Lonchura striata: one gene and its partners. The protein of the gene in region 4 binds, or shares a complex with, the protein of the main gene of each other region. Links are inferred from orthologs where the notes say so. Each region holds a gene or a part of one and is shown on either strand. Other genes may lie near its edges.

Evidence for each region.
Region 1: SNRPD3 (region 4) and GEMIN4 share a complex: the UniProt entries of both Homo sapiens proteins name them as parts of the SMN-Sm complex. The link is inferred for Lonchura striata from reciprocal best matches to the Homo sapiens genes SNRPD3 and GEMIN4.
Region 2: SNRPD3 (region 4) and LSM3 share a complex: the UniProt entries of both Homo sapiens proteins name them as parts of the U4/U6-U5 tri-snRNP complex. The link is inferred for Lonchura striata from reciprocal best matches to the Homo sapiens genes SNRPD3 and LSM3.
Region 3: SNRPD3 (region 4) and SNIP1 share a complex: the UniProt entries of both Homo sapiens proteins name them as parts of the minor spliceosome. The link is inferred for Lonchura striata from reciprocal best matches to the Homo sapiens genes SNRPD3 and SNIP1.

The regions. Positions count from the first base shown.
Region 1 is NC_134622.1:8,702,070-8,709,515, forward strand, and holds the start of GEMIN4 (gem-associated protein 4), read left to right. Parts: upstream 1-4,444; coding exon 4,445-7,446. Other genes in the region: GLOD4 (glyoxalase domain-containing protein 4), read left to right, coding at 351-400, 993-1,113, 1,504-1,648, 1,845-1,981, 2,220-2,306, 2,426-2,539, 2,628-2,714, 3,025-3,090. UniProt on the Homo sapiens protein: The SMN complex catalyzes the assembly of small nuclear ribonucleoproteins (snRNPs), the building blocks of the spliceosome, and thereby plays an important role in the splicing of cellular pre-mRNAs.
Region 2 is NC_134614.1:14,621,202-14,629,051, forward strand, and holds the start of LSM3 (U6 snRNA-associated Sm-like protein LSm3), read left to right. Parts: upstream 1-4,835; 5' UTR 4,836-4,859; coding exon 4,860-4,883; intron 4,884-6,497; coding exon 6,498-6,608; intron 6,609-7,686; coding exon 7,687-7,782; intron 7,783-7,850. Other genes in the region: XPC (DNA repair protein complementing XP-C cells), read right to left, coding at 32-964, 1,380-1,469, 1,657-1,777, 1,988-2,145, 2,623-2,707, 3,185-3,305, 3,583-3,716, 3,902-4,103 and 1 more. UniProt on the Homo sapiens protein: Plays a role in pre-mRNA splicing as component of the U4/U6-U5 tri-snRNP complex that is involved in spliceosome assembly, and as component of the precatalytic spliceosome (spliceosome B complex).
Region 3 is NC_134628.1:4,688,611-4,695,915, reverse strand, and holds the start of SNIP1 (smad nuclear-interacting protein 1), read left to right. Parts: upstream 1-4,291; coding exon 4,292-4,431; intron 4,432-4,503; coding exon 4,504-4,606; intron 4,607-5,040; coding exon 5,041-5,609; intron 5,610-7,305. Other genes in the region: DNALI1 (axonemal dynein light intermediate polypeptide 1), read right to left, coding at 1,605-1,783, 3,653-3,822, 3,901-3,980, 4,069-4,149. UniProt on the Homo sapiens protein: Required for pre-mRNA splicing as component of the spliceosome. As a component of the minor spliceosome, involved in the splicing of U12-type introns in pre-mRNAs. Down-regulates NF-kappa-B signaling by competing with RELA for CREBBP/EP300 binding.
Region 4 is NC_134620.1:3,928,507-3,935,456, forward strand, and holds the start of SNRPD3 (small nuclear ribonucleoprotein Sm D3), read right to left. Parts: upstream 3,012-6,950; 5' UTR 2,904-3,011; intron 2,454-2,903; 5' UTR 2,430-2,453; coding exon 2,304-2,429; intron 1,687-2,303; coding exon 1,494-1,686; intron 663-1,493; coding exon 601-662; 3' UTR 1-600. Other genes in the region: protein GUCD1, read left to right, coding at 3,256-3,292, 4,854-4,938, 6,398-6,563. UniProt on the Homo sapiens protein: Plays a role in pre-mRNA splicing as a core component of the spliceosomal U1, U2, U4 and U5 small nuclear ribonucleoproteins (snRNPs), the building blocks of the spliceosome.

The DNA of each region.
Region 1 (7,446 bases), on a different chromosome or scaffold from region 4:
TGGAATGGGAATGAGGATGGGAATGTGATGGGGATGGGATGGGAAATGAGATGGCAGTGGGGATGAGAATGGGATGGGGATGGGAATGAGATGGGAATGGGGATGGAATGGGAATGGGAATGAAGATGAGGTTGGGAATGTGATGGGGATGGGGATGGGACGGGGACGGGATGGGAAATGGGATGGGGATGGGATGGGAATGGGGTTGGGAATGGGACAGGAGCCGTTTCCTGCCCGCGCTGGCCCTGTTCCCACCCGCTTCCCCGGGCCTGGGGAAGGAGTTCCGGCTTGGATCGAGGGGATGCTCCAGGGGATCCCCTCCCAAGCCAGGGCACCTCCTGGCTCTGCAGGTGCTGCGGCACGAGGAGTTCGAGGAGGGCTGCAAGGCCACCTGCAACGGGTGAGTGCCCGGTGCAGCTGTTGTTCACAGTAAAATAAAGTTTGGGTTGTTTCTTATTAAATTGCTTCCCTTGGAACCTGCAGCCCCCCACTCTGTGTAGGTGTGGTGTTTATATTGCACAGAAATACCACGCCTCTAGGTTGATACTTAATTATTTCTCAGCTTATCAGGAATTTCTCAGCTTATCAGGACTCCAGTTCCACTGATTGTTTAGATAATCGTGGCACTATCAAGGTTCTTGAGTTAAAAATCCCTCCTGGTAGCCCAAGGCTAAAGAAAAAGAAATTAAAAGAAGAAGAAAGAGGAATGCATTTCATTGTGAAGTGGAAGGAATCTTACAGTTTGGTGCCCTTTCCTACTTAGCAATAAGGAAGTGATTATGTAATTGCAGCTAATGAGCAGCCTGTGCTCTTAAAGCACCAGCTGTTAATGAGGTAGAATTGCTTTTATCATATGAAGAGAGCCCGGGGTCAAATCTGCCACGATTTCACTCTAGAAACACAACTCCTCCTTGAAACACAAATACTCGCAGTTCTTGGTGGTTCATTTCAATGCTAATGACATTAAAATATGGATAATATGGATATTCCAGCCCTTATGATGGAAAATGGAGCAAGACCATGGTGGGTTACGGACCAGAGGACAATCACTTTGTGGCAGAGCTGACTTACAATTATGGCATTGGAGAATATCGCCTGGGCAACGACTTCCTGGTGAGTTCCACTCATGATAAGCTGATTTACCTTGATAATTAGGAGCTCATTTGTCACAGCTGCTTATTTTTATGCTGTTGGGTCCCTTAACCACATAATCGTTGCTTTTATGGTTGTCTCTGAGTTGGAAGAGCAGAATCCAGAGCAGATTTGTGCTCACTTAGAGGTCCAGGAAACATTTCTGGAGCTCTCCCTCTGCTGTGTGGGACAGCTGGTGTTTGCTGCCAGATCCAACAGGAGGAACTTGCTGCAGGAAAACACTCTTATATTTATTATTTTGATAATTTTTGTGATTTAGTGGCTGGCAGCAGATGGAGATCTCGTGTTTCCTGTGTGGAAGGAGGTTCTGTCTCTGCCTCCACCCCATGGATTGTGTTGTGTCCTCTCTAGGGCATCACTCTGGTGTCCAGCCAGGCTGTGAGCAATGCCAAGAAGATGGGGTGGCCCCTCAAAGAAGTCACCTCTGGTGTCTTTGAAGCTGAAGCCCCAGGAGGATACAAATTCTACCTGGAAGACAAAGAACAGCCCAAGCAAGGTGAAATACCCCTGCTGGTGTTCAGCAGAGGTTTAACAGTGGGGTATCAGAGTGTGTTTATTTTGATGGCATTTTGTAGAACAGTACACTTTTTTTATAATTTCTCTGTTACTTCTCAAGAATACTAATGACATTAACTGTGGATTTAAAGCTATAATATGTTTGTAGCTAATGTGAAATTATTGCAATCCTCAAGATCCCGTGTGGAAGGTAACCCTGGGTGTCTCAAACCTGCAGAAGTCTGTGAGCTACTGGTCTGGTTTGCTTGGGATGAAAATCTATGAGAAGGATGAGGAGAAACAAAGGGCTTTGCTGGGCTACGCTGATAACCAGGTCAGTCCTTGGAAAAATCACCAATTTCAGGAAAAAAGCTCTTAATTAGAGCAACTGTGCCCTTAATGATGAGTGTTTTAATTGACGCTGTATACACCCAGCTGCGCTTTTAAAAATAAAAAAGCAAAGCTGTGGTTTGCTGTGGCTTGTTGGGAAAGGCGTGGATGGGGGATTTTGGAATCAGCTGCAGCCTGGAGCAGTGTCCCTGCAAGCCAGGCTGGGTTTTTCCCTGTCCCAGTGCAAGCTGGAGCTGAAGGCTGTTGGAGGAGCAGTGGACCACGGGACAGCGTTCGGCCGCATCGCCTTCTCCTGTGCCAAGGAAGAGGTAACAGCCCCATTTCCCTCCCCCCAGCTGGGGAAGGTTGTTTTGGTGTTAACAAAACCCTGAGCAGATAGTTTATCTCTTTGGCAGCGAGGTGATTTGGGTTTGCTTTCTGTTTCCAGCTGCCAAGCATTGAAGCCCTGATGAAAAAGGAGAATCAGAAAATCTTGACGCCCCTGGTCAGCTTGGACACGCCTGGCAAAGCCACGGTGCAGGTGGTGATTCTGGCTGATCCTGTGAGTAAAACTGAAAAGTTTTAAAAGTGGTTAAATTTGGTTTCAGTTCCTCCTTGCCATTAGTTATAACTGAGCTGCCTCCTTTCAGGATGGCCACGAAATCTGTTTTGTGGGGGATGAAGCATTCAGAGAGCTGTCCCAGGTGGACCCTAATGGTGACAAGCTGTTGGATGATGTAAGTGGCTGCACATTCATTTTCTTCCTGATTAGAGATACCTGTAAAATCCAATTTTCATTCCATGCTGAGTTTTTCCTGGAAGCAAATCACCCAGGGTTGGTAAGGAAAATAAATCAGTTTTTAAATCTCACTTGGTGCCCTGGGTGGAGTTGTCCAGCATCACTCTTGGGGCATGGTCTCGTTGTTTGCTGTGGCAGAGAAAGTTGGTTTTCAGTGTCAGTTCTCCTTACTAGTAGCTAAAAAATGATTTATCTCTCCAGAGAGCTTTCCTCCTGTTCTGACCATGTTCCCACTTGTCTTTGTGCAGGCCATGGCTGCAGACAACAGTGACAAGTGGTTTGCTGAGCACAACATGAAGAAGGTTTCAGCTTAGCTGGAGGAATGGCCTGTGCTGCTATTCTGTGCCTTGGAGTTCTTCCAAGAAAGTGCCAATCCTGGTTAAAGTGCTGCCTTCCTAATCAGAAGGTGCTGGGATTTCCTGTGGTGGGTTTTTTTGGGTTGATTTAAGCTGATGTCTCTGGCCTGCTGCTCTGTCCCTTTCACATCTCATCCATCCAAAAAAACGGGGGCCATGCAGCAAAGGAGCAGCTGAGCCCTTGGCTTCAAAACAGGGACCATCAGTCAAGAGAGAATCACATTTCTGTGTTGTTATGCTTCAAGGAAAGGTGGATAGGTTATTTTCTGATTAATTAATTTCCTGATTACTTTGCTTTAGCTGTCCTTCATTTGCAGGCTAGAGAGGAGATTTGGAGGCAGCTGTGGCTACTCCCCCTCTCCAGGGAGGTGTGGGGTGCATCCCTTTATTGGGAACAAAGAAATGATCTTGCCAAGCTGCGTGAATACTCCAGTCCTTGTTATTCCAAGGAGTTTCCCCAGCTTCCAAGGGGAAATGTTCAGCCCGTGGTGTGTTTCTCACTGGGATCCTGCTGTTGCTGGGTTTCCAGTCTTTCTCCAGGAGATTTCCACGTTCCAGCAGGGAACTGAGGCTGTGCTTTGGGGTTTGGAGCTGCACTGTCTGCTGAGGTGCCAGGGGGCAGCTTGAAATAAGTTTTTCACTTAGCTGTTGGTGAGAAGCTGCCTTTGGAAATAACAATTCAGGGTTTTTTGTGTTGGAGTGAAGTTGCTCTGCTTTTGCTGGGAATACAGGGAGTCATTCCCATCATTGCTTGTGCCACGTATGCTGCCTGACCATCGTTTCCTTGATGAAAACCTTAAATAAAATCCTTTAAATCAGGTTTTCATCGCGAAACGAGTTTGATAGAGACGATCGATCGGGCAGCGTTGGCACTTCTGAGGTGGAGCAGGAAAAACTCCTCACTGCGATTTGTTTTTTTTTTTTTTCAGTCAGCTTTTTGAATTCCATTTTAATGGCGGTTTGGAATCCTATTTGTATGATTAAACACATTGATAGTGGAGCATGGCAATGAATTAGTCCATGAATTCATTTATTAATTTTTTCATTAATTATATTAGTCCATGAATTCATTCATTAATTAATTCACTAATGTTTTCATTAATTATATTAGTCCATGAATTCATTAATCAATTCATTAATGATTTCATTAATGAATTCGTTAATTTTTCATTAATGATTTAATTAATGATTTCATTAATTAATTAAGCAGCACACCTCCGCGCCGCCAGGGGCCGCTGCGAGCGCGCGGCGGGGCGGGGGCGGACGGCGTTACGTCAGCGCAGCGCGGGCGTGACGTCACCGCGCGGGCGCCATGGCGGCGGCGGAGCGCGGGCCCGCCATGGCGGCGGGCGGGCCCTGGGCCGTGGGCGAGGAGACGGCGATCCTGCACGGCGGCTTCCTGCTGGCCGCCCGCCTGCTGCAGCCGCGGCCGCTGCGGGAGCTGCGCAAGGCCGACTGGCCCCGCGCGGGGCTGCCCATCGCCGACGCGCTGCGCGAGATCGCCGAGCGCTGCCCCGCGCCGCGCCGCCGGTGGAAGAAGGAGGCCGTGGCCATCGTGTGGGCCAAGATCCTGCTGCCGGCGCTGGAGTGGGGCTGGAGGGATGACGGGTTCTTCTCGGTGGGCGCGATGATCCCCGATGTCAGCCCCGCCGCGCTCTTCGAGCTGGTGAAGGCGCTGGGCGAGCCGCGGCTCTGGGTGCAGCTGCTGCTGGCGCTGCCGCCGGCCGTGTGCCGGGCACAGCTGCAGAGCTTGGTGCGGTACATCTCCAGCGAGACCTCCTTGTCGGACGTCAGCTTCTTCCTGGACGTGTGGTGGGAGGTGCTGAAGCACAGGGCGGGGCAGGAGGATGCCACGGTGTCGGCGTTCGGCGCTCTCATCCACCAGCACGGCGGGGAGTCCCCCCCCGAGGATGGTCTGCAGCCCCCAAAGAGGTTCAAGGGTGACCCTGGGAGCGCCGCGGCCACCGCCGGGCTGCCCGCGGTGCTGCTGGAGGGGTTAAAGCTGATCCGAGGCAGCATCGCCCAGCCCCGCCTGAGGTGCTACGCCCTGGCCAACCTGGCGGAGCTGCTGTGCCTCTCCTCGGTGCTGGGGCCGGGGCACAGCCCCCTGCCCATCGCGGAGCACCTGGCCAAGCTCGGCGCCGTGGTCAGTCTCTGGAGCAGTGATGCTGACAGCCAGTACCACCCCTGCGAGCTGGGAGAGAAGGTGAGGGAGGCAGAGAGGAGCCTGAGCCTCCTGTGCCTGACCAAACCCTCTCGTGAGGAGCTCTTCGATGGCTTAGGCTTGCTCTGCAGCTTGCTGCAGGCCTGGGGAGAGGAGCTGCAGGACACTCTGAGGGGGTGTGAGGGGCTTTGCTTTGAGAGCTACCGGCTCCTGGACGCTCTGAGCAGCCTTGGGAAGAACCTGGATTTCCTCTTGGAGACCAGAGACCTGGGGGATGGCGGGACATGGGTGGTGTCAGAGGTGACACAGCTCATCAAGGACTTGCTCAGGGACACCGGTGCAGTCCTGAAGGGTTTGGACACCAGCCTTGTGTCTTCAGTTGCCATGGCAATCATTGCACAGAGGCTGGACCGCCATGGGGAAACCTGCTCTGTTTTTGCATCTGAAAAGACCTGGGCTTTTTCAAAGGCCTGGGTCGAGTGCCTGGTGAAGAATAAAGCTCTGTTCCAGACTCCTGAGCTAGTTTTGAAACTGCTGGAGACGCTGGTGAACTTTGCTACTTCCCACCATGACCAGGAGGCCCAAGAGCTGCAGATGCAAGTGACCAAAGCCATCGTGGAGTGCTACACTGAGCTTTCATTGAGTGACAAAAACAAAGTGATCTCAGCTGTCCTGGCGTCCTGGGGCGGCCCAGGTCTGTCCCAGAACGTGCAGGTTGTCAGGGAGGGCTTCCAGGAGGACCTGAATGTGACTTTGAACCAGATCACAGAGAGTGTGTCTGATGAAGGCCTGGCCAGGGCTGTGGCTTCTGTGGCCAGGCTGACACTGCTGTCCCCCGAGGCCACAGTGAAGCAGGTTTGTCATCTTGCTGTGGTCAACCTCGGGGCGCACCAGTTCCTCGCCCAAATCCTCTGCTCCTTCCCAGCACTGAGCTTCCTGGAGAGCCACGAGGGTGCAGGCAAGCCACGCAGCCTGGTGGTGAGGTGCCTGGAGGAGGCAGTGTGGGGGAAGCTTTCCACGGCGAGGGAAGAGGAGCAATTCCTTCAGTTCCTGGCCTTTCTCATGCAGCCAGGCTCAGCCACCCCACTTGTGTCACCTGCAGAAGTGACCGAAGCCTTTGTCCTTCCCTGTTTAAAGTCAGACTCTGCTCAGATTGAGCTGAGCCTGCAGATCCTCAGTAAGGTTTTGGGAATACCATCCTGCTCAGAAGAGCACTGGATTGAGTCCTGCCACCCATTCCCACTTCTCCTTAGCCTCTGCAAACTTCTGGATGGTTACACCAAGTACTGGCATCGGCCTAGGGAGCAGCTCTTCCCTTCCCTGGAGACCAAAGACCTGATTCTGAGCATCCTGTGCCAGCTGTGCGAGCTGGTGGGACCAGAGACCGTCCCCTCCTCGGAGCTGTGGGTGCAGTCGCTGGCCTGGCTCCACAGGAAGGTGGCATCCCTGGACTGGACCGTGGGGCTCCGTCTGAAGAAGCTTTATGGGGATCACTTCAAGAACGAGGTCCCAGCGACGCTGTTCGAGATCTGCAGGCTCCCTGAGGACGAGTGGACGTGCCAGTCCTGGCCAGCCTACGGGCCGGGCAGTGGGCTGCTGGCGTGGATGGAGTGCTGCTGCGTGTCCCCAGCGCTCAGGGACTCCATGCTGGCGCTGCTCTGCGTCAACGTGGACAACCCCGAGGAGGTGAATCTCTTCAGCAAAGGCTTCCTGGTGGCCCTCATCCAGGTGCTGCCTTGGTGCAGCCCCGGCGAGTGGAGGAGGCTGGTGCCCGTGGTGGAGCAGCTGCTGCAGAAGGAGGTGCTGCACGTGCCCTACACGCTGGAGTACGTGCAGCACGTGCCCCTGCTCAACCTGCGCCCCTTCGCCTGCCACCTGCAGCTCTCCGTGCTCTTCCTGCGGGGCTTCCAGCTCCTCTGCAGCTCCAGCTGCTCCAGCTGGCTGCCTCCAGAGGCCTGGCTGCACGTGGTGCAGCTGTACTGCGCCAGCCTGACCGACCTGCTGGCCTCCCTCAAGGCCGCGGCGGCGGCCGCGGCTCAGCCCTGCGCGCAGGAGGTGTCCTTCACCTGCATCCAGCTCTTCTGCCACCTGCTGCACGTGGCTGCCATGCTGCCTGCTGGGGGCTGTGAGGAGCCTCTGCTGGTGGTGGC
Region 2 (7,850 bases), on a different chromosome or scaffold from region 4:
TACGTGTCCTGAACAACCTAGTGTGATTTACCTCATTTTCTTCCTTCTTGTCTCTCTCCACATAGGGACTTTCATATGGCTGCAGTGTCTCCTCCCACCACTCTGCGTCCACACGGCTCTTCCTTGTTGAGGTCATCCACACTGGATCGTATCTTTGTGTCACATCCCTGACACTCCCATCGTTGTCAAACCCCACAACGTAGAAAAGCGGCTTTGTGGCATGTGCAAAGCACAGCTGGGGCTGGCCCACATTGCCATGAACACAGTCTACACAAACCCACTTGTCCTCAGGCTCAAGGAAAACCTCCAGCCACTGGTCTGTGCCCATTGCTCTCCTCACCTCCTGCTGTCCATCATCCTCATCACTAGAAATGATTTTGTTTCTCTTTCTCTGTGCTTGAGGCAAGGCTGGAGTTGTACTTTTTGCTGGTTTAGTCTCAGCTCCATGCGAATTTTCTGCTTGCCTTGTTTCTGAAGTCTCAGTTTTTGACCTTTTTACAGTTGTCAGCTTTGAATTCTGGGAGGCCTGTGAACTTCTCCGCCTCTTAGGGACAGTTTCAAAATCCTCATCAGAGAGATCACTCTCCTCCTCTGAAACCTCAAAGTCTGAAGCACTGCCCTCATCACTTCCACTCTCTTCCTTGTAACACACTTTGGAGGCCACTCGTCTCCGGCGGTCGTTCTTGGGCCTGACTGGCACATCTTTTTCTGCTGAACTGGTCTCATTATTTGATCCCTTCTGTTCCTGGCTACCTTTAGTCAGCTTTGATTTATGTGTCCTTCCAGTCTGGGCAGTTTTGGGTTTCTTTGGCTCCTTGTTGCTTTCTTTGCTCTCTGAGGATTTCTCATCCTGCTTGGCTTTTTTGCAGGGGCATGTTTTTGCCACAGCTTTGGGTGTTGTGGCAGAACTCTCCCGTCCCTCATGGGTGCTGCTGTGAGACAGCCTCTTGGATGAGCTCTTTGCCTACAGGGAAACAGGCCAGGTCATTTTTATGACCACAGCTAAGAACATGGTAAAAAAAAAAGACTAAAATCAGCCCAAGGTTCATGCAGACCAAAGGTTCACGGGTACAATCAACTCACTTGAAAACTTCAGGCAACTGGCTGAATAGAGGTGTATTCATGCAGTAAGAGTTGCCATCTAAGTTTTAAGAAATGTAAACCCACTGAAATGTTAAGAAATCTTTGCTGAAACACAGAAATGAGTGGCTTTTTTAAAGAAGAAAATTAAAAATTAAGGGTGTGCATTTTCTGCAATGTAGACAGAACCCTGGTTCATGCAGTAAACAATTCACTATAAGCTGTAATAGGAATAAAGTTTTTTTAATCCTACTAAATCAATGACCTATTCCTTATTCTACACAAACAACAAAATCTACCTTTGGTCTTGTCTCCTTGAGAGGAATAGGCTGAAAAGACAGCACGAGACGACACAGCAGCTGTAATGCTCTCAGAATAATTAAAAATATCTGCAAAACAGATTGAGTACTTTAATCACAGGAGCTCTTGAGATAAAAATGCAAGAAAATAAAAAGCTAGAGAATCATTTAAGTCACCGATCTGCCTTCTTCAAATCCACCCCTTCCACCACTTGTGTATGACCTGACACACAGCATCCAAACTCACCAACCAGCCCTGCACTTCCCAGTCTCTTACATGAACAAGCTCCTCATCATCCTGTGCAGCATAGATGGCAAACCTCCTCTCCAGTGTTGCCTGAAGGGGCTCTCCTTTTTCAGTGGAAAGCTCATCATTGACAGTGAAGGTTCCAACAAACCTGAAATACAAGACACCTGCTTATTATCCAGTGTTTGTGACTGTATTCTTAAACTTCTGAGTTCACCCTCTCCTTCTCTAAAAAGGACAGCCCCTCTCACCCTTGCAGATAAAATTTTAAAAACCCACAGAAAATTGCTAGTTACAGTTACCCCTCTCCCAGAACTCTCGCTCTACATTCTATGTGACAGCACCATCAGAAGAGCTTTACCATTTCACCAGGTTGGAAAGGTAGACAAGGCCCACTTGGCCTGTGGGCACTTGGGTGAAGCGGGTGGGGATGATGGACAGAGCGATGGCGAGGAGATCTGGCTGGCTGCAGATCCTGTTCCTGTAGAAACCATTTGCTAGTAAACACAGCAAGTGAACCTGAGAGAGAAGAGTTTGAAAGTGAGTTCACAAGAGATTTTCCTTATTGGAACTACTGCTCATGGTAAAGACAAGGAATACTTCACTGCTCCTTTTAACAGAGAGAGGTGGCAATAATGCCTCCCAAGACTCAGTGCTGTCTTCAGAAGACAGCAAAGCACTAAAGTCTTTGCAAGTGTCTCCTGCTCTACATGGCTGACAGTTTAATCCCAACAGAATGAGACAATATCCCTCTATGGAGACATATACATCCTACTCACATATGCTTTGAGTTAGAATTTTACTAACACAGGTACTGATGTTTCCAGTTCACAGTTTAAGAGGAACCTTAATGAGCATCTGTCAGGACGACAGCCTCTTTATTTTGTCACTTCTAGCCTTTCTAACTATTTAAAAAATAGCTTATTTTGATTACAAATCAGTTCAGACACCTTTATGCTCAATTTCTTCTCTGCCATGGTTCTCTGTGACAAATACCTTATGTGTGTCCTCACGAACCTCCTTGCTGAAACGTTTCATCATTCTCCGAAGGTACATCTCAAACTCAGCTTTTCTTTTTTCTCTGCAGAAGATTACAAAAGAAAGGGATGTTGTGGGTTTTCTGTGGACCTGCCTTTCTTGATTTCTGAACTGGGCCATCTTCCATGCACACTTAAGGAAAGGTTTAGTGATTGGTTATGTGAACAGGTTGTTAAGGTTTTGCAGTAACACAATGTCATTCACCCACAGCTGTCCTCGCAGAGACTTCCTGCTGTCCCTTCACTGGAAACGGAGACAGTAAAACACAATGAAGTTACACACTTGATTTTCGAGGAAGCTGAAAAGCCTCCTCCATTCCTGCCAACTTCCACTGAAGATTTTTGGTAGAACAGTCAGTGTGTAAACTGTTCATCCCATAGCCCTGCATTATTCCAGCTCACTGGTCTGAACCACGTGGGGATTTTCACCCTGAATGAACGCAGCAAGTCAGTGACAGCCAAGACTTAGGGTATTTTTAACTTCAGCCTTTAGCAGCCCTCCACCACCTCCTTGTTCTTACCTCCTCTCTCTTTTCTTCACCTGCTCTGGGGTTTCAATCTCTATCTCGACAGGATTGCTTGGCAGCCCCACTGATGGAAGAACAGTAGCTTCTTCTAACTTATCTGGAGGCTCCTGAAGTTCTGTAAAAATAAAACACTAAATTATAAGTAAACATGGAATAGATTCCCAGGGAGGACTGGTGATTGGATAAGAACCTACATTTTCCTTCTCAAGTGTTCAAACAACCTTCAAACAGAACACATCCAGTAACTACCAGCTCCTGGATCTTCCATAACACTGTGTGTGCTAAGTTAATTGAAATTACTGTGGGATGTTGGTCACCTGCTGTTGAGGAATCATTGTGATATACAGGCTCTTAAAAAAAGTGCTTAACATGAAAAAATATGCAATTGTTACCTTCCACATCCTCCCATTCATCTTCACTTTCATCATCATCATCATTGTTGTCAGTATTGTCTTCATCCATTTCTTTTTTAACAGGAGATTCTGTCTTTAATTTTATCTCCGTCTGAGGATGCTTCAGTGAGTCACTGTTAAAATCACAAAACAGTGGTAGCACCAGGAAACACAGGTGCTTGTTTATCAAAGACTAAAAATAGAGAAACAAATCAAGCATGATCTCTGCATCAGTAACAACCGATTGAGTATTTGACCATCAAACCACAGAAAGAAGTAAGAAAAAGGTCCTATAGACTTGAGTGATAAATAAATTTACCTGCATGTTTCTTCTTTGATAGAATTATCTTTATTTCTAGCATTCTTTTTACTTTCTTTTATTTGTGATTTTGCCTCTTCTTGTTTTGAAAGTTTGGAAGTTTTTGCTGAGTTGGAAACTTCAGTATCACAATCATCTCCCTTTTTCCTAGCTGGAGCTTTTGAGGTCTTTTTTATACTGGGCTTTTTCTCTTCAAAATCATCTGCAAATGACAAAAGAAATGAAGATTAATGTTAGAGGACAGAGTTTCATCTCCATGGCCATCTGAAACAATATCTCCATGGCCTTCATTAGAGGCAGCTTCAGAAGAATGCGAGCAATCACAATGCTGAGCATGTCATTGTTTGTTTACAAACAAGCAGGATTTGAACAGTGAGACTTGTTGGAGAGAAATACCTACATAACTCACAAGAAGTACCTAAAGATTCCTACAGTCCTACCGATGGAATCGGCGGAAAACCAAGCATCGTGCTTGCCACTCATAACAAGTTATTCTCGCATGCCGCTGCTCAGGAGAGCACGGCCGAGATGAAACAGCCCCGCACGGGCTGCTCAGCCTTTGGCAGCGTGGGGGACGAGTCACACGCGGGTTTAACGCCTGGATAACGCAGCGATAACATCCATCTTCCTCCAGGCCGGCGCGCCCGTCCTTCCCGAGCCGACCCCGCGGCTGGAGCGGCCCGAGCCGCGGCGGCGGCGCAGCTCCGGCCCGCCGCGGCCTCCGTGCCGCACTCACCCTCCTCACCCTCCTCACCCTCCTCCGGCTCGTCCTCCGGCGGCCGCCCGGAGCGCCTCTTGCTGGCGGCGGCGGGCCGGGGCGGCGCTCGGCGCTTCCTGGCCATGGCGCGGGCCGGCCCGCCCCGCGGAGGGCGCGGCGGGCAAGGCGAGGGAAGGGAAGGGGAGGGAAGGAAGGGGCCGGGCCATAAAGTCTCGCGGGCGGGCGCGGGAGGCGCGTTGAATGATGGCGGATGAGGTGGACCAGGTGAGCGCTCTGGGCTCCCTCGGGCCGCAGGGGAGGCAGCTCTGGGCAGCCCGGGAGCTCTCCGTGCCGGCTCCGAGCTTGCGCCGCTGCCGGGCCGCGGGCAGGGCTCGCTGCAGGCCCGCCGACCCCGCACTGCCCGCGGAGGGGAAGGGGGAAAGCCGCCGAGGGCAGTGCCCCGGGCTCTGAAGGACGGGGGCAGCTAGAAGGGAAATACGGGATGTGTATGGAAGATGTGGAGGAGGTCGTCACACTTTTTTTAAATTGTGATTCTCGAAGTGCGCCTTTCGCCCAGCAAGGGGCCTCAGGCCGCTGGGTGCTGGGGTTTCACGGCAGCCTCGGGGCCCGGCCTGGCCGCGGTGAGTGTGGGGGGCAGCGTGTGCCCGGGGCACCCGAGGGATCCCCCCGGGGTGTGCCCGGGGCACCCGAGGGATCGCCCCGGGGTGTGCCCGGGGCACCCGAGGGATCCCCCGGGGTGTGCCCGGGGCACCCGAGGGATCCCCCCGGGGTGTGCCCGGGGCACCCGAGGGATCCCCCGGGGTGTGCCCGGGGCACCCGAGGGATCCCCCCGGGGTGTGCCCGGGGCACCCGAGGGATCCCCCCGGGGTGTGCCCGGGGCACCCGAGGGATCCCCCCGGGGTGTGCCCGGGGCACCCGAGGGATCCCCCCGGGGTGTGCCCCGGCACCCGAGGGATGCCCCCGGGGTGTGCCCGGGGCACCCGAGGGATCCCCCCGGGGTGTGCCCGGGGCACCCGAGGGATCCCCCCGGGGTGTGCCCGGGGCACCCGAGGGATCCCCCCGGGGTGTGCCCGGGGCACCCGAGGGATCCCCCCGGGGTGTGCCCGGGGCACCCGAGGGATCCCCCCGGGGTGTGCCCGGGGCACCCGAGAGATCCCCCCGGGTGTGCCCGGGGCACCCGAGAGCCCCCAGGGTGTGCCCGGGGCACCCGAGGGATCGCCCCGGGGTGTGCCCGGGGCACCCGAGGGATCGCCCCGGGGTGTGCCCGGGGCACCCGAGGGATGCCCCCGGGGTGTGCCCGGGGCACCCGAGGGATGCCCCCGGGGTGTGCCCGGGGCACCCGAGGGATGCCCCCGGGGTGTGCCCGGGGCACCCGAGGGATGCCCCCGGGGTGTGCCCGGGGCACCCGAGATCCCCCGGGATGTACCCCGGCACACGAGAGCCCCCTGGGTGTGCCCAGGTAACTCCCTGTGCCGGCACCGCAGGCAGCGTGGGTTCGGCTGGTTCAGCTGTGCCGTGCCACGGCACAGCTATGCTGCTGGTTCCTGCAGTGTAAACTGTGGCTGCCGGTAGGAAAAACAGTTCACTGCTTATAGAATGGTTTTTGTGATGTCCTAAAGATCATCCAGTTCCAGTCCCCCTGTGTGTAAAGAATGATTTGCTGCAGGCTAAAATGAAATATTTTGACTCGCATTGCTCAGGGCTGCGGAGTGTCAGTGGAGTGGTAAATCAGCAGCACTCAGGTTCTCTAACATGTCATGGAGTAATTTGAATTATTTGCATCTGTGTTTTCACTCCTTTGTTTTCTGTGTCGCACATTGAGGAGTGGAAAAGCTGACAGGCTTCTTCTGTACAAATAATGCTGCTTTTTTTTTTTAGCAACAAACAACAAATACTGTAGAGGAGCCACTTGATCTCATCAGACTCAGTCTAGATGAGCGAATCTATGTCAAAATGAGGAATGACAGAGAGCTTAGAGGCAGATTACATGTAAGTAAAACTTTCACAACATTGTCATGCTCATCCAGCTAAGCACTGTGCAGCCTTTCTTTATGTACAACAGTCTGTTAAACAAGTTTACCTGTAATATTCCACTGGTTGTTGAAAAAGTTAGTTTTAAAACATGAGTAATTGCATTTCCTGGTTGAAAGTGCAGAAGTGGTTGGAGAAAGTAGGTTAAGAATTGTCTTAGTTACCAGAACTGTAATGTGATTGGTGGAAAAATCTCATTTCCTCAGTGCTTTGTCAGCTATTAACTGCTTCCCTAGAAAATCAAGAGATGTATTTTGTTCTTCTTGTCTCCTGAATGATACCAAGCAACAAATTTCACTGCTTTTGGCTTCCATTTCTCTGTCTGTGAAATAAGCAATAATGCTGCAGGCCTCTTCATATGATGTACCCTGAGGCCTCTTCTAGACTGAGGTCATTATTATCAAACAAGAATCCCTTAAGGCACACCCTGGGAGGTGTGATGGGACAGGTGCTCAGCTGCATTCTCAGATTTTTGCTTTCTGTAAGTCAGTCAGCCTCCCTGAGTGCTGTGCCCTGCTGGGAGGAGAACCAGTTGCCCCATGAGTTAACTGGGCCTCAACTCCTTTGGAAGCACACAGATAATGAGAGATCCATGAGGGACATGTAGTTTGCAACATGCTTTTTAAGGATTTTGGAACATGAGTATAAGGTTTTGTAGCACTGTACGAGAAGCAGCTTTCAAACCCTGTAAGTTGCCCCCAGGCAATCAATTCCAGGAGGCTGGACTGGCAGCAGTGTATAGCTGGTTTAATGTTAACAAAGTCTGTCTGTCTCTGAGGTCTTGTAAATGCTCTCACAGAATGCTTCAGAGCTATTTCCTGCAAGTGTTGCAGTAAATGCAAATGTTGTACCTTCTTTTTTCTGCTGCAAAGTTCTCGTTTGTTTATGTTTGTGTTGAGCTGGAACTAGAATGATAGTACTATGTTTTGGTCAAAATCAGACAAAACTATGTCTCAAAGTCTTGCTAAAATTCTCATTTTAAGAAACTCATGTTTGAATTTTGGGAAACATGGTAAACTAAACTTACTTTCTACAGGCATACGATCAGCACTTAAATATGATTTTGGGTGATGTAGAAGAAACTGTGACTACAATAGAGATTGATGAAGAAACCTATGAAGAGATTTATAAAGTAAGACCTAAAAAAGGAGTTAATTTATCCTGACATATTTTTTTATTTAAAACTACACTGTGTTATAT
Region 3 (7,305 bases), on a different chromosome or scaffold from region 4:
AATACAAGAGCTAAAATGTAAGGCATCAGGACAAAGTGGTGTGTGATGCAGTCTTTAAAGCTGTAGAAGAAACTTCAGAAGCGCAGCTAAGCCTGAGGACAGTGAGCTGAGTATTCTGATGGTCTTTGCTGCCATCCTGTGGAAACGGCAACAATGAGTTTAAGGATATAAAATCTGCTATTTTCACGTGCAGAAAATGGGGCCCCAAGGCGTCGCTCGTGTTGTCTCGCTTTAGTTTTCAGAGAAAACAAAAAATAACAGATTTCAGTAAAACAATTGTATTATATTAATTGGGATACCAAGACTAATTAAACTCTACTTTTGCATTGTTTTCAACAGTAAAAGACAAATTCAGTATCATAGTTCATACATGGTGAGCAGAGTCAGTGGACTATGTTTTTAATGTAATTATTTAGAATCTGTTGTAGAACGAGAAGCTGTAAAGATTTCAAGAGCACAAATTCCCTGAACACTATCAAAGAAGGATCTTCCCATAAAATAACCCACCACAACAGAAACTTGACATTAAGCACTGTAAGGCAAACAGGAAGGTGTCAAGATGGAAGGTGGAGGTTTGGAATTAGCATAGGGGACAAAAACTCTACTGTGCAGACTATGGGAAAAGAAACAACTGCTTACACTCTGTGTAGCCTCTACACCCTTTTCTCCAAGTGGTCTTTACAACCTTTTCTCCAATTCCCTCACCCTTTTCTCCAAGTGGTCTTTGCATCCTATTCTTCAAGTCCCTCACCCTTTTCTCCAAATGGCCTTTCCACCCTTTTCCCCCAGTCTTTCCCCCTTTTCTCCAGGTGGCCTTTCCCCCAGCCCCTCACCCTTTTTCTCCAGGTGGCCTTTCCCTCCTTTCCCCGTCCCTCCCCCTTTTCTCCAGGTGGCCTTTCCACCCTTTCTGCCAGCCCCTCACCCTTTTCTCCAGGTGGTCGTTACATTCTTTTCTCCAACTCCCTCACCCTTTTTTCCAAGTGGTCTTTACACCCTTTTCACCAAGTCCCTAATCCTGTTCTCGCAGTGGCCTTTCCACCCTTTTCTCCAAATGGCCTTTACATCCTTTTATCCAGGTCCCTCACCCTGTTCTCCAAGTGGCCTTTCCACCCTTTTCCCCCAGTCCCTCACCCTTTCCCCCAGTCCCTCCCCCTTTTCTCCAGGTGGCCTTTCCACCCTTTCCCCCCTGTCCCTCCCCCTGTTCTCCAGGTGGCCTTTCCACCCTTTCCGCCAGCCCCTCACCCTTTTCTCCAGGTGGTCTTTACATTCTTTTCTCCAAATCCTTCACCCTTTTTTCCAAGTGGTCTTTACATCCTTTTCTCCAACTCCCTCACCCTTTTCTCCAAGTGGTCTTTACACCCTTTTCACCAAGTCCCTTGTCTTTTCTGCAAGTTGGCCTTTACACCCTTTTCTGCAAGTCCCTCATCCTGTTCTTCCAGTGGCCTTTCCACCCTTTTCTCCAAGTCCCTCATCCTGTTCTTCCAGTGGCCTTTCCACCCTTTTCCCCCAGTCCCTCACCCTTTTCCCCCAGTCCCTCACCCTTTCCCCCTGTCCCTCCCCCTTTTCTCCAGGTGGCCTTTCCACCCTTTCCCCACTCCCCTCACCCTTTTCTCCAGGTGGGCCTTGCCCTGCTCGGCCAGCAGCGCCTTGCGCACGCCGAAGGCCACGCTGCTCTCGTAGAGCGCCTGGTACGCGGCGAGCGTCAGGCGCAGCTCGTCCCGCACGCGCAGCAGCAGCAGCCCCCGCTCGGCGCAGCTCACCGTGGTCTGCCGGATCAGCTCGTCTGCAAGGGAGCAACACAGGCTGCAGTGCCCTTCTCTGGGACATGGCTGCTCCTCTCACCTCTCACAGACAGAGCACGGCTTTCCCAGGCAGCGTTCTGGGAAAGGCAGTGACAGGCTCAGAGAAAAGAATGAGGAACAGTTCTTATCTTGCTGCACCGGGTGGTGTGAATATGTGGGATGTGTTATGGGGGTTTGTTTACCAAAGGGTGGTTGTGGGAATCCAGGGCTTCCCTCTGGCTGCCCTGGCAGGTCTGGGACCCTGGCAGGGGTCAGGAACCCCCCTGGACAGAGCCCCCAGAGACACTGGCTGTGATCTCTGCCCATGGAAAAGAGTTTTCAATCTTACAGGATGAACTACCAGCTCTGAGTGTTTGATATAAGTAATAATTAAATGTAGCACAGGTACAGAAGTAAAATTTTAGAATTTTAGATTAGGGGTTCAAAGGGGACAAGATGGAGGAAATTGGGCGTGTCTTGTCCTTCTTCTTCATGCCCTCCATGTCTCACTGTGGTGTTGGCATTTTTCTATTGGTTTAGGCTGGAAACACACTATTCAATGTAAATAATAGATATTAGCACATTATTGTAAATACAGCACACATAGTTTCTGGTATTTAATGTTTGTAACATCCCACTGAGGGCAGAGCCCCACATGCTGCCCTGCAGGACAGAGCTCTGCAGCAGGGAAGCAGAACATAAGCAAAAATAAACAACCTTAAAAACCAGCACAGACAAATTATAGCTACTTCTTTAACAACAAGGCAAAAAAACAGAGACTCTTTACAATTTCAGAATCGTCAATACCACAAATTCCAACAGGTGTTACTTAATTAGCATCAACTTCATGGTGATGGTGTTTTAAGTAAAAGACCAATTAAGTCCACCAGTAGCAAACTAGGGTATAAAAAGGCAATGGGTTTCTTTATAAAGTAAATTATCAGCCTTCTATAAAATGCATGGAGTTCATGTCACTACTTACCCAGCTGGGGACCTGTTGCAGTGACACTCCACCACTCACTGTGCCACACAACTGGAATCACACACTGAATCACAGAGCTGCCAGGTTGGAACAGACCTTCGAGATCATCAAGCCCTACAACCTCACCAAGTGCCACATACAATCTTTTTTTAAACACACGAGGGATGGTGACTCCACCACCTCCCTGGGCAAACCACTCCAGCACTTTATCACCCTTTCTATAAAAAACTTTTTCCTAATACCCAACCTGTATTTCCCTTGGTGCAGCTTAAGCTTCCCTATTTCATGGCGGTGTAAAACAGGGCTTTGGAAGGGTAAATGTGGCCCTGAAGGGTCAGTGGGGTCCTGAGATGTAAATGGGGTCCTGGAAGAGTAAAGAGGGTTGTCAGAGAATAAATGGGGTTCTGGAAGGGTAAATGGGGCCCTGAGGGGAAAATTAAGTCCTGGAAATGATGCTTTAAGTTTTAGCTTTTGTATAGAAGGGTAAAGAGGGTTCTGAGGGAATAGAGAAGGTCCTAGGGAGGTAAATGCAGGCCTTTGGGGTAAATGGGCCCACATTTAGGACATGGAATGTCCTAGAGACAGTAACAATTGATTTGTTTAGTTCCATTGCAGCTGTAGCATTGAGTGCAGCAGGTAAAAGCAGAGCAGTGGTGCAGCTCTTCGGGCAATGCCAATGATGCTATCCCCTAAAGCTGCAACAGCAAGCACTCAAAAACGTGTAATGGACTTGTTGCAGTCATGGGGGAGCCCTCAGAGGTTCCTGTGTCATCAGTGTGTGACACACACACACGGCTCCAGGTTACTTTAAACAAACTTGGCTGAAGCGCAGCCAGGAGGACACCCGAGAGGATTGAGAGCTGTTTCCAGGTGCAGGCTGCGCACTGACCGAAGCACTGCGTGTAGAGCTCCCTGCGCACGGGGCACAGCCCGGTCTCCCGCGCCTGCCGCTGCTGCAGCTGCCGGTCCAGCTGCTCCTGCAGCTGCAGCACGTCCCGGCGGGTGCTGGGCGCGGTGGACACCTCCTGCACCCACAGCTTCTGCGCCTCCTCCCACTCCCTGCCAGAGAAGCAGCGGCCGTTACCGGGGCCGCCGGGCGCCCCGCGGCCCCGCCGGCCCCGGCCCGGCCCCGCTCACCGCGGCGGCAGGATGGCGTTCAGGAGCTCCTGCGGCTGCTGCGCGGAGGAGAGGCCGGCGGGGCCGCGCGGGGCCTGGCTCTGCGGGAACACGAGAGGGCAGCGCCGTGAGGGCGGCCGGGGCGCCGCGGCACCCTCGGCCCCCCGCGAGCCCCCCGCTGGCGCTCACCGCCGCGGAGGCCCGGTCTCCCCGGCGGGACACCAGCACGGGCGGGCAGTACCGCAGCAGCGACTCGGGCGGCGCCGCCATGGCGGCCGCGGGCCCGTCACCATGGCGGCCGCGGGCCCGTCACCATGGCGACCGCGCCGCCCGCCCCGCGCAGGCGCGGCCCCGCCCCGCGGGCGGAAGCGCTGCGGGCGGAAGCGGCGGCACTTCCGTGCGGGCGGGCGCCATGGAGGCGGCGGAGGAGCGGCGGAGAGAGCGGCGGCGGCGCCGGGAGGCGGCGGTGGTGAAGGCCGAGCGGCGAAGCCCCCGGCGCAGTGCGTCGCCGCCGGGCGAGGAGCGGCGGGGCCCGGCAGGGCGCGGCAGCAGGTAGGGAGGCCCAGCCGCTCGGCCCCGCGCTCGGCCCGGCCCCGCCGCTCAACCCCTCCCGTTGTTCCCCAGGTCGCCCCGGCGGAGGAGCAGGTCCGGGAGGAGGAGCCGCTCCCCGCGAGGCAGGAGGAGCCGCAGCCACAGCCCGCACCACGGCGCCGTGAGGGTAAAGCAGGTGAGTGGGGAGACTCGGCCGCGGCGGGTGCGGTAGGCGCCTCTTCATGTGTCAATTCCGACTGGGCCCTACATCGTGTCCCATGAGCAGAGAGAGGATCTGGGCCAGTCGGAGCTCCTGCTGCCCAGCTCAGGCTGTGCCACCCGTGGCTGTAGCTGCTCTCGGAGCCGTGCCCGTGGAGCTCCCATGGGAGCCCTGCTCCTGCCACAGCACAGGCACCCCTGGGAGCTGTGTCCTCTCCCCAGAGCAGGCTACACTCGCTGTTTCTGGTGCTTTATTCAGTGCCAGTTGTGGGAACCCAAGTAGGCTGGCAAGGAACTCTGTTCCACGTCGTGTCAGGGCTGCACGGTACATCCCAGTGTGTGTTTTCCCAGCGCGTGGCGCTGGGATTTTCCGAAAGGCTGAGCTGCTGCTCTCTGTGATCCTCCCTTCAGGAGCGAGACGATCACTGTCGCAGGGGCACCGAGGAGCGGAAGCAGAGGCACCCGGCGGAGCAGGAGCACCGGCGGGAGCGGGACAGGAGCGGGGAGCGGCACAAGGAGCACGCAGACAGGAGGAAGAACCCCGGTGAGAGGCCGGGAGCGCGCGGCCACGAGCGGGAGGCGCAGAGCCTGCGGGAGCAGCAGGCGGAGAGGGAGCTGCACAACGAGAGGCGGCGGGAGCAGCGGCAGAGCAGCGAGCAGAACGCAGAGCCCTGGCAAGCAGAGAGCAAACCCAAAGAAAAACCCGCTGCCAACAAGGAGAAGCCAAGCTTCGAGCTGTCGGGGGCGCTGCTGGAGGACACCAACACCTTCCGGGGCGTGGTGATCAAGTACAGCGAGCCCCCCGAGGCGCGCATCCCCAAGACGCGCTGGCGCCTGTACCCCTTCAAGAACGACGAGTTCCTGCCCGTGATGTACATCCACAGGCAGAGCGCCTACCTGCTGGGCCGGCACCGCCGCATCGCCGACATCCCCATCGACCACCCTTCCTGCTCCAAGCAGCACGCCGTCTTCCAGTACCGGTGAGAGCCTGGCAGGGCTTCCAAACGGGTTCCAGGTGGTTTTTGAATTGATAATGCAGTTTGTGGAGGTTTTTTTACCTAAGTAAGAAAAGTGAGTTTAGTTTGCATTTTTACAGTGTGTTAAAAGGTTACAAGAGTCTTAGGTTAAAAATGTTACCGTCTTCTAGTACCTCAGATGAGTTCTGAAGGGATTTGAGGTGGTTTTTGAATTGGTTTTGATAATGCAGTTTGTGGGGTTTTTTTTACATAAGTGGTAAAAGTGAGTTTAGTTCACGTTTTTTTATGGTATGGGTTAAAAAGTTAGAAGAGTCTTAGGTTAAAAGGGTTGCAAAGTTACAAGAGTCCTAGGTTAAAAATGTTACCATCTTCCAGTACCTGTGAGAGCCTGGCAGGAGTTCTGAACAGGTTTCAGGAATTTTTGAGTTGGTAATGCAGTTTATGGGGTTTTTTTTACGTAAGTAAGAAAAGTGAGCTTTGTTTGCGTTTTTACAGTATGGGTTAAAAAGTTACAGTACTTAGGTTAAAAGGGTTAAAAAGTTACAAGACTTAGGTTAAAGAGGTTACTGTCTTCCAGTACCAGTGACAGCCTGCGACAACTTCCGAACAGGTTCGAGGTGATTTTTCAGGTGATTTTGATAATGCAGTTGGTGGGGTTTTTTTTTACCTAAATAAGAAAAGTGAGTTCAGTTCACGTTTTTTACAGTATGCGTTAAAAAGTTACAAGACTTAGGTTAAAAAGGTTAAAAAGTTATGAGAGTCTTAGGTTAAAAGGATTAAAAAGTTATGAGAGTCTTAGGTTAAAAATGTTACCGTCTTCCAGTACCTGTGAGAGCCTGGCAGGAGTTCTGAATGGGTTTGAGGTGGTTTTTGAATTGATAATGCAGTTTGTGGGTTTTTTTACCTAAGTAAGAAAAGTGAGTTTAGTTTGTGTTTTTACAGTATGGGTTAAAAAGTTACAAGAGTCTTAGGTTAAAAAGGGTTCTGTCTTCCAGTACCTGTGAAAGCCTGGGAGGAGTTCTGAAGGGGTTTGAGATGGTTTTTGAGTTGGTTTTCATAATGCAGTTTGTGAGGTCTTTTTTAATGTAAGTAAGAAAAGTGAGTTTAGTTCATGTAAGAGCTCCCTGCATTTCAAATTCCAGCAAGGGAGGAAAGCAGCACACAAAGCAAGTGCCTTGGAATGGGTGGCTGGGAGGGGACAGTTTGCTGTTGGCACATGTCAAGTGGAATTTATGCTGCAGGTCATCCCAGCAGTGGCCAAATATATCTGAAATTCAGCTAGCAGCAAGCAGAGAAATCACACAGGGGGTTAGACACAGTGTGGGGTGTGAATCCAGGCTGGAGTCACCCAGCAGCTGTGATTGACTGGGAGCATTCACAGGAAACAGAAAACAGGGCTTTTTACCCCAACTCTGTGGGATGGGAACTGTTTCTTAATCCCAGAGAAGCACCCTGGGCATGGAGCCATCAGCTCCTGGGTGCTGCTGCCAGCACTAACAGCTTTAGCATCAGTCCCACGGATGTGAGAGCATTTCAAGGTTTGTGAGAGCATTTCAAGGAGATGTTGGTTTGTTTGCTCGCTGTGATGCACAGGAGTGTGGGTCTCAGATTCAGTCAAAGAAAGAAACTGAGAGTTTCTAGCTGGGCAGAAGCCTGGGAAAGAGCTGGACAAGAATGTAAATAATTCTTTGTCTCTCTT
Region 4 (6,950 bases):
GGAAAAACTAAGAAAGTCAGAACAGATTTTTTCACTGCAAATATAGATTCAGGCTATCAAAGTTGTGTGTTCCTAATGAAAAATTCTCCCTATATCCAAAGAGAAAGATAAAAAATGCAAGAATACAAATACAATATAGAGATTTGAAGATAAACCTCTATCTACTGTAGGCCTATATAAAGCTAAAGGACACAGTGCTCTGCTTCTCAGGAAGCAGCCTCTGTTTTGCTGTATTTTCCATAAATGCAGCTGCTAGTAAGACTTTATAATGTATGACCCAAAATTCTTCATTAAGAATGCCTTCTAATTCTTCAGAGAATAAATGACAGCAGGACTAAACAAGAAAAAGGAAACATAATGATCTTCAGAAATCAATGCATCACATAAAGTGGTCAAAACTAGATATAATAAAGTCCACTATTTTCCAAAGCTGGCTTGAGTTTGAAACCAACCTACAGTGTATTTGTCCAAGAATTGTCCTGTCAGGTAAGAGCAGACAAGTTTTTGTCAGAAACATTTATTAAACAAAGCTGATACTAACGTGCACACATAGTCAAGTTAACACCCCAAATACAAAAAGCAATTCGGCCGAGACCAAAATTATCTTCGCTTCTGGAAGATGTTGCCACGGCCCATACCACGGCCTCTTCCTCTTGCAGCCACTGAAGAAAGAAAACATCAGGGATGACATGAATTTGACATACCTGCACATTTATCTCAACAACTGACAAGCAAAATATCAACAGAACTCAAGGTCTCCTACTCAGAAGCAAGGAAATGCTCAGAAAGTGATGTGAAGAGCACAAAGCATTCTGTGATAAGAACCATAACCTAATGGTCCCACAGTCTGGCTCCTCAGGACAACTGCAGGTGATATTCAGACATCTCATGTTCCTTCTGACACACAAATCTGTGTCACCCCAGAGATTTGAAACCCCACACTCTTGCAAGGTTTTGCAACATGCAGTAAGTTACTCCCCCACATAAACGTTACTGCATGCTAACCAGGGACTTTGTGACTGCTACTCAACTACCTAACAACTAGACTGATCCCCTGAGAAAGGCACAAATGAGAGTGAACTACAGAAAAGGTAATAATTACAGCTTCCCAGCAGCTCAAGTACCATCTTTGTAACTAAAGCTGTTTTCCTACAACAGCTCAACAAGAACACCTGAATCCTTCCCTAAGCATTTCAAACAGCTGGTGGCCAAAGCTGCAGGAAAACAGAACTCTTAAATTTAACAGAAAGGCTCTGTTTAATAAGGCCACTCACTACCTCTAAATTACTGTAGCATCAATATTCATCACATCACATTCAGGTAATTGGGACAATTTGAGTCTTGACTCTCACTGTAAGATAAAATATACAGAAAAACACTGTATGAACCAGCAAGCTTTTCACTTCTTACTGCTTAATCTCCTCAGAGACAGAGATGAGTCTTCCAGTTCTACAGAAAAACAGGGGGAGGGATCATGAACAAACTGTACGTACCTTGAGCTTTGAGAATGGCTGCTTTCCCTCGCCCAGCTCCAGAGCCCTGGTTTTTATTCTTCATGCTCTTTAGCATAGGAGCATTCTTCAACATATCTGGTAAGATGAGAAACCGTATCTTGCTGCCCCTGATGTACACCTGCTCGAGCTGTGCCACCCGTCCATCTCTGTATGTCACTGTTATGTTGGACATCTGCAAGGTAAAAAATCAGTCAATGCTCAGACAGGCCTCACCTGTGACACAAGGCATCACGACCATTTAAACACACCCCATGCCTGCTGCCCAGGACTTTTGCTTTCTCACCAGTTTACAAATTAGCTTTATCAGTATCTATCATTTTTGTTTTCTTATATGCAAATAGTTTTAATAAAGCTATTCTAGTACTAACAATTGGGAAAGCATTCTAATGTCAATGATCACTTGCCTGAAATCAAAGTTAGGCCCTCTTGGAACGACTATAGTAATGTGCATTAAATAAGCTTTAGTTTCTTAAATCAAGGGGTTTTTTTATTCTTACACTCAGTGGCTTTAAGCAAAGAATTCTGGAAAAACACTGTTCACAGGACAGACTCTTAAAATCTCTGATCCTACTGACTGGGATGCCCAATCCTACTTTGAAATTGGAAATAAGCTCTGGCCTCTTTGAAGCATTCTGTAATGATGAATCCACTTCAACACGGTAAAAAACAGCACCAGTACAGTTTTTTTTTAATCCCAGAACTAAAAGCAACAGTCTTTTGATCAAGTTTTGAGCCTTCTGAGGCCCAGATAAGCCAACCTTCCCTCCATCCTTGTGAAACAAAAGATACCTGACAATTCATGTTGTCCTCAGCTTCGATAAGTTTGCCTCGATAAACTTCTCCTGTATTGGTCTCACAGGTCACGATGTGGCCCTCGGCCTCGTGCAGGACCTTGATGGGCACTCCAATCGACATGGCTGCAGTGCTGTGGCTCTACACCTGAGGCACAAGGAAATCAAAAGCTTTATTACAAAGAAAGATGTCGAATAAGGTCCAATTACACAATCCATCATCCCTTCCATTAGTGTAAAGCACCGATTTTTCTCACATTTATAACACAACATGCGTTTTGACTATGCACCAGTAACACTCCTCTAGAGACGTGCCCATCAAGACTCTAAACATCACCAGCCAGTCTTTTCCAGGTCTCTTCTGGGAAATTCACTTTTAGGGACCACAACACAAACCACTCGTACCTCCAAGGGAAGAGCCCCAGGCGGACCCCACAGCGGTACGGCCGCGCTGGGGGCGCGGCGCCAAGCACGGGGCCCCCCAGCCCTCCCGCTCCGGCCGGCCCCTCCGGGGCTGCTCCGCTCGGGCGCCTCCCCACAGCCAGCCCAGGGAGCCACGGAGCCCCGCGGGGAGCCGAGGCCGCCGCGCCGCACTCACCGCCCGCGCCGCTCCGCTAATGGCCTCCGCCGCCTCCCGGCCTGCTCCGCGCGCCGGAACCGGAACGCGGCGCTGGGGGCGGCGCGGCCCGTCCGCTGCCGCCCGGGGCCGGCCCGGCAGCCCCGCCGCGCCCCCGCTCCGCGGCAGGGCTGCGCGCCCCTCGCCCGCCGTGTCATGCCCCCGCCCGCCCGCACGCCCCGCCGCCCTCCTCGCCGCCACGGCGCGGGGCGAGCGCCCCGGGGCCCGGCCCCCCTCAGCCCCCGCCTCCGGGAGGAGCCAGCGCCGGGCCCCGGGGCCGCGCCGCCGGCTCGGCGGGGCCGGCAGTGAACGGGCGGCGGGTGCCGCCACCGCCATGAAGAGCCCCCGGGAGGCCGGCGAGCCGCCGCCAGGTCAGTGCGGGCCGCCCAGCCCCGCTCGGGCCGGCGGGGCCTCCGCGGGCAGGGGGCGGCGGGAGGCGGAGTCCGCCCGCGGAACGGGCCGGGGACAGCGCCCGGCGGGCGGCGGGTGCGGGCCCCGCCGAGCCGCGCTGCCCGCAGCAGCCGTGCGCAGTTACCGGCTCCGTCGGTAAGGTGGTGGCGGCGGGGAGCCGGCCAAGCGCAGAGGGGTTCGCAGGGTGGTTCGCAGGCAGGGCATAGACGGGCCGGTCTCCCGTGTCGGGACGGCAGCGAGCCATCGCCAAAGAGCTCTAGGTGTGCTGGGAAACAGGTGACTGGAAACTGGACGGCCAGGAAAACTTGTTATCGCTCTCTGAAGCTTTCACGTAGAAAACACGTAGCCCTTGGTTAATGTGGGACTTGGTAGAGGCCCTGGCTGTTTACAAAAAGGGGACAGATTCATAACATACTAAGAAGAAATTATGATAAAATAGTTGAGAAGTCCTGGTTTGAAGACAAATGGGAATTGGTTTTCTTTTCTTTTTTTTTGTTTTTTTTTTTTTTTTGTTACGATACTTGAGAACACCTTAAGCTAGATGAATTTAAAAGACTGAATATATCAATTGGTATGCTGTTCTTTAAAGTCATGATTAAACAGGGGCACAACTAGGAAAAATATAACAACGTTATCTAAAAAGTTCTATAAATAATATTACCCCAAAACTAAACAAATCCACGTGATATCAAATGCATTTTTATTCCCATCATAAAATCTAGAGGACCTTGTTAACCAAGCTTCTCGAAGGCCTTTTCTAGATCAAAGGTTATTGAGGAAAGCTCTTTGTGATTAACTTGTTTTGATCAATGCTGAAGTAGCAATGACAGATACAACTGTTCAAGTCCTGCTAGTGGTGAAACTGAAACCACCACATTGCCAGCTCCGTAAAAAGAAAAAACTTGAGGCAGAGGATGGAGCTTGTGTTTTGGGACTTTTTGGCAGAGTTTATTAATTTTCCCTCTCTACTGAGGTTTTGATGGAATTAACACAACTGGTACCACTTGTGAGTTTTGTTTAAATTCTGTAAATTACCATCCCTGAGAAAAAAGACATCTATAGAAAAGGTTTAAATCTGTGGGGCTTCTAAGAGATTCCTGCCCAGAGATCTTGGTGTGTTTTCTCCCAGTGTGGTTTAACTCCTCTTGTGGCACAGAAGTACAATCAGACAGAAAAGACCTGTGTCTTACCTGCTGTTATCCAGGAGAAGACACCGCTTCAGTTGAGGGGTGGTGGGTACATCACCTCACAAAAAAGAAAAAAGAAACTTCCAAGGGAAAAGGGGGTGGAAAGCCAGTGACCTAGGTATGGAACAATGAAGGAGTATGAGATTAAACCAAATGCTTACCTGTACAGAAATACTAACTGTATGTTCCCCTAAGGAAGAAAAAAATCCACCTGCCAGTCAGACAAAACCACATTCCTAAGTTTCCATGATTGTAGTGCTGAGAACAGGCTGACTTCATGGCATGGAAAAACATTCCTGTATGGATTGACATTGTTTGTGTTCTGCTCACACAGTTGACTGCATCCAGCTGAAAGTGCCAGTGATTCAGCAGCTGTACCACTGGGACTGTGGGCTGGCCTGCTCCAGGATGGTGCTTCAGTAAGTGGCTCTCTTACAGTGGGAAATCCCATTCCATGGGGAGGGGTAGCAGGAAACATCCCAGGGAGAAGAGGTGTGTTTGAAGCAGCCATGAGTTCAGTCTTAGGAGAGCAACAGTTTTTGAGGTACCCTTGGACAATGACAGCTGCTTGGGCCTGGCCCAGCTCTCCAGCAGGAGCAAGGGAAAACATAAACTGAAGTGAACTTTGGACTCCTTTGAATAATTGACTAATTACACAGATGCAGAATACCTAATCAGCTCTATGAACTTTGCAGGCTGGCATGCACAAGCACATAGAAAGTCTTGCCTCTTTTCTGTTGTTACAATTCAGAACCCATAGTTAGCTGTGACTCATCCGATTCCTTTTTGTATTTTCAAGTGATGGGTAGGTGTATCTCAGTTTATGAGTGTGTGCTGTACCTGTGCTACCTCTGTCCTGCTGAGCCCCAGCCTGTGGGATGAGTGTTTGTGTTCCAGGAGTAGTTTCAGCTTCAAAATTGTGTTGCCCTCTGGGGGTTTTTTGTTTATTTTTGTTTTTACCAGTTTTTGAACTAGTAGCTGTCCTGCTGAACTCCTCTTTCCTTCCACAGAGGAACATGAGCTTAGGTGCAGGAGAAATACCTATTTAGATGTCCACTTAGTAGATATGAAGCAGAAGATTTTCATTTCTCTCCATCCCTTCTGCCAAGACGTTAGTCCGTGTGCTGGTAATTTCCCATCTTGACTACTGTAACCTCTATTCCCTTTACCTCTTTGCCACTCCAGTCTGCCCAAAACTCAGCTTCCAAGATTAATCTTCTTACCCTGCTGATATGACCTTGTTTGCCCTGCATCCTCAGTTCCAGTTGCTTTTTATTTTTTATCATTTACTTCTATTTGTTTTCTTACTTTCAGAACTCCCTGTAACTACCTTGCCTGCCCCTTTGCAACCTGTGCCAAGCTTCCTCCTGACTTCCATCTCCCACTTTCTTCCTTTTGTGTCATCAGTGCCTAAGACAAGTTTACTTTGAATATTTACTGAGTTCCTTTATGGCTCCTCCTTTTAAAATCCATCTATTGTGTGAAGGAAGTTTTAGTCTTTAACTCTTCTTTCTCTGTTGGCTCTAATACACTTATACATTACACTGTAAACCCTTCAGGACAGAGTTCTATACCAGCTTGACTCTGGTACAGCACCTGTACACTTCTAGCACTCTAAAACAGTCAAGGCACCACACATTTCCAATTTTAAAAAGTCAGCAATAAATCTGGTTAAATATTCCCTATTCCCTTCCCTTAAATTTCTGTCTCCTTTGTGGGTTGGTTTGTTTTTGGGGCTTTTTTTTTTGTTTGTTACTTCTTAGCCAAGCCTGTTGTTTCAGTTTTTATGTGCTGTGATGTAGAGGCTTGGGCTACAGCACACATTTTGCTTCTTCTAAGATCTGTGCTTCTCTTCCCCTGCCTTTCTTGACGCTATAGGTACCTGAATCATTTGGACAATGATGAGTTTCAGAAAGCCATCCAGGAACTCCAGTTAACAAAGAGTATCTGGACTATTGACCTGGCCTACCTAATGCGGCACTTCGGAGTTAAGCATAAATTTTGCACCCAGACACTCGGAGTGGACAAGGGCTACAAAAATCAGGTCAGTATTCTCATCTACAGGGGGAGAGCAGGCAGCTTTAAAAACCTTGAGTGTCATGCTGTAAAAGCTCTGGTGTGTTACTGACAGTCAACCACAGTTAATTTGACCTACTGCCAAAACTGGCACAGATCTGTTCCAAAGGCAATACGATCCTGTATTGATTCCATCTTTTGAATTTTTAAAAAGTTTACATGTAGTGTTCATGAAAGGTTCCAGCCTATTTGACAGCCTTGGAGACTGAAGCCCTGTATTTATCTACAGCACAGGTACAGCCTGGGCAGCAGCAGTGTATAGCTTCCACATTTTCCCCATCACCGTGCCTCAGCCTTGACCTGGAAGATCCACCTCTAGAGGTGAGAGGGGAACTCAGCCTCCCATCACTGAGAG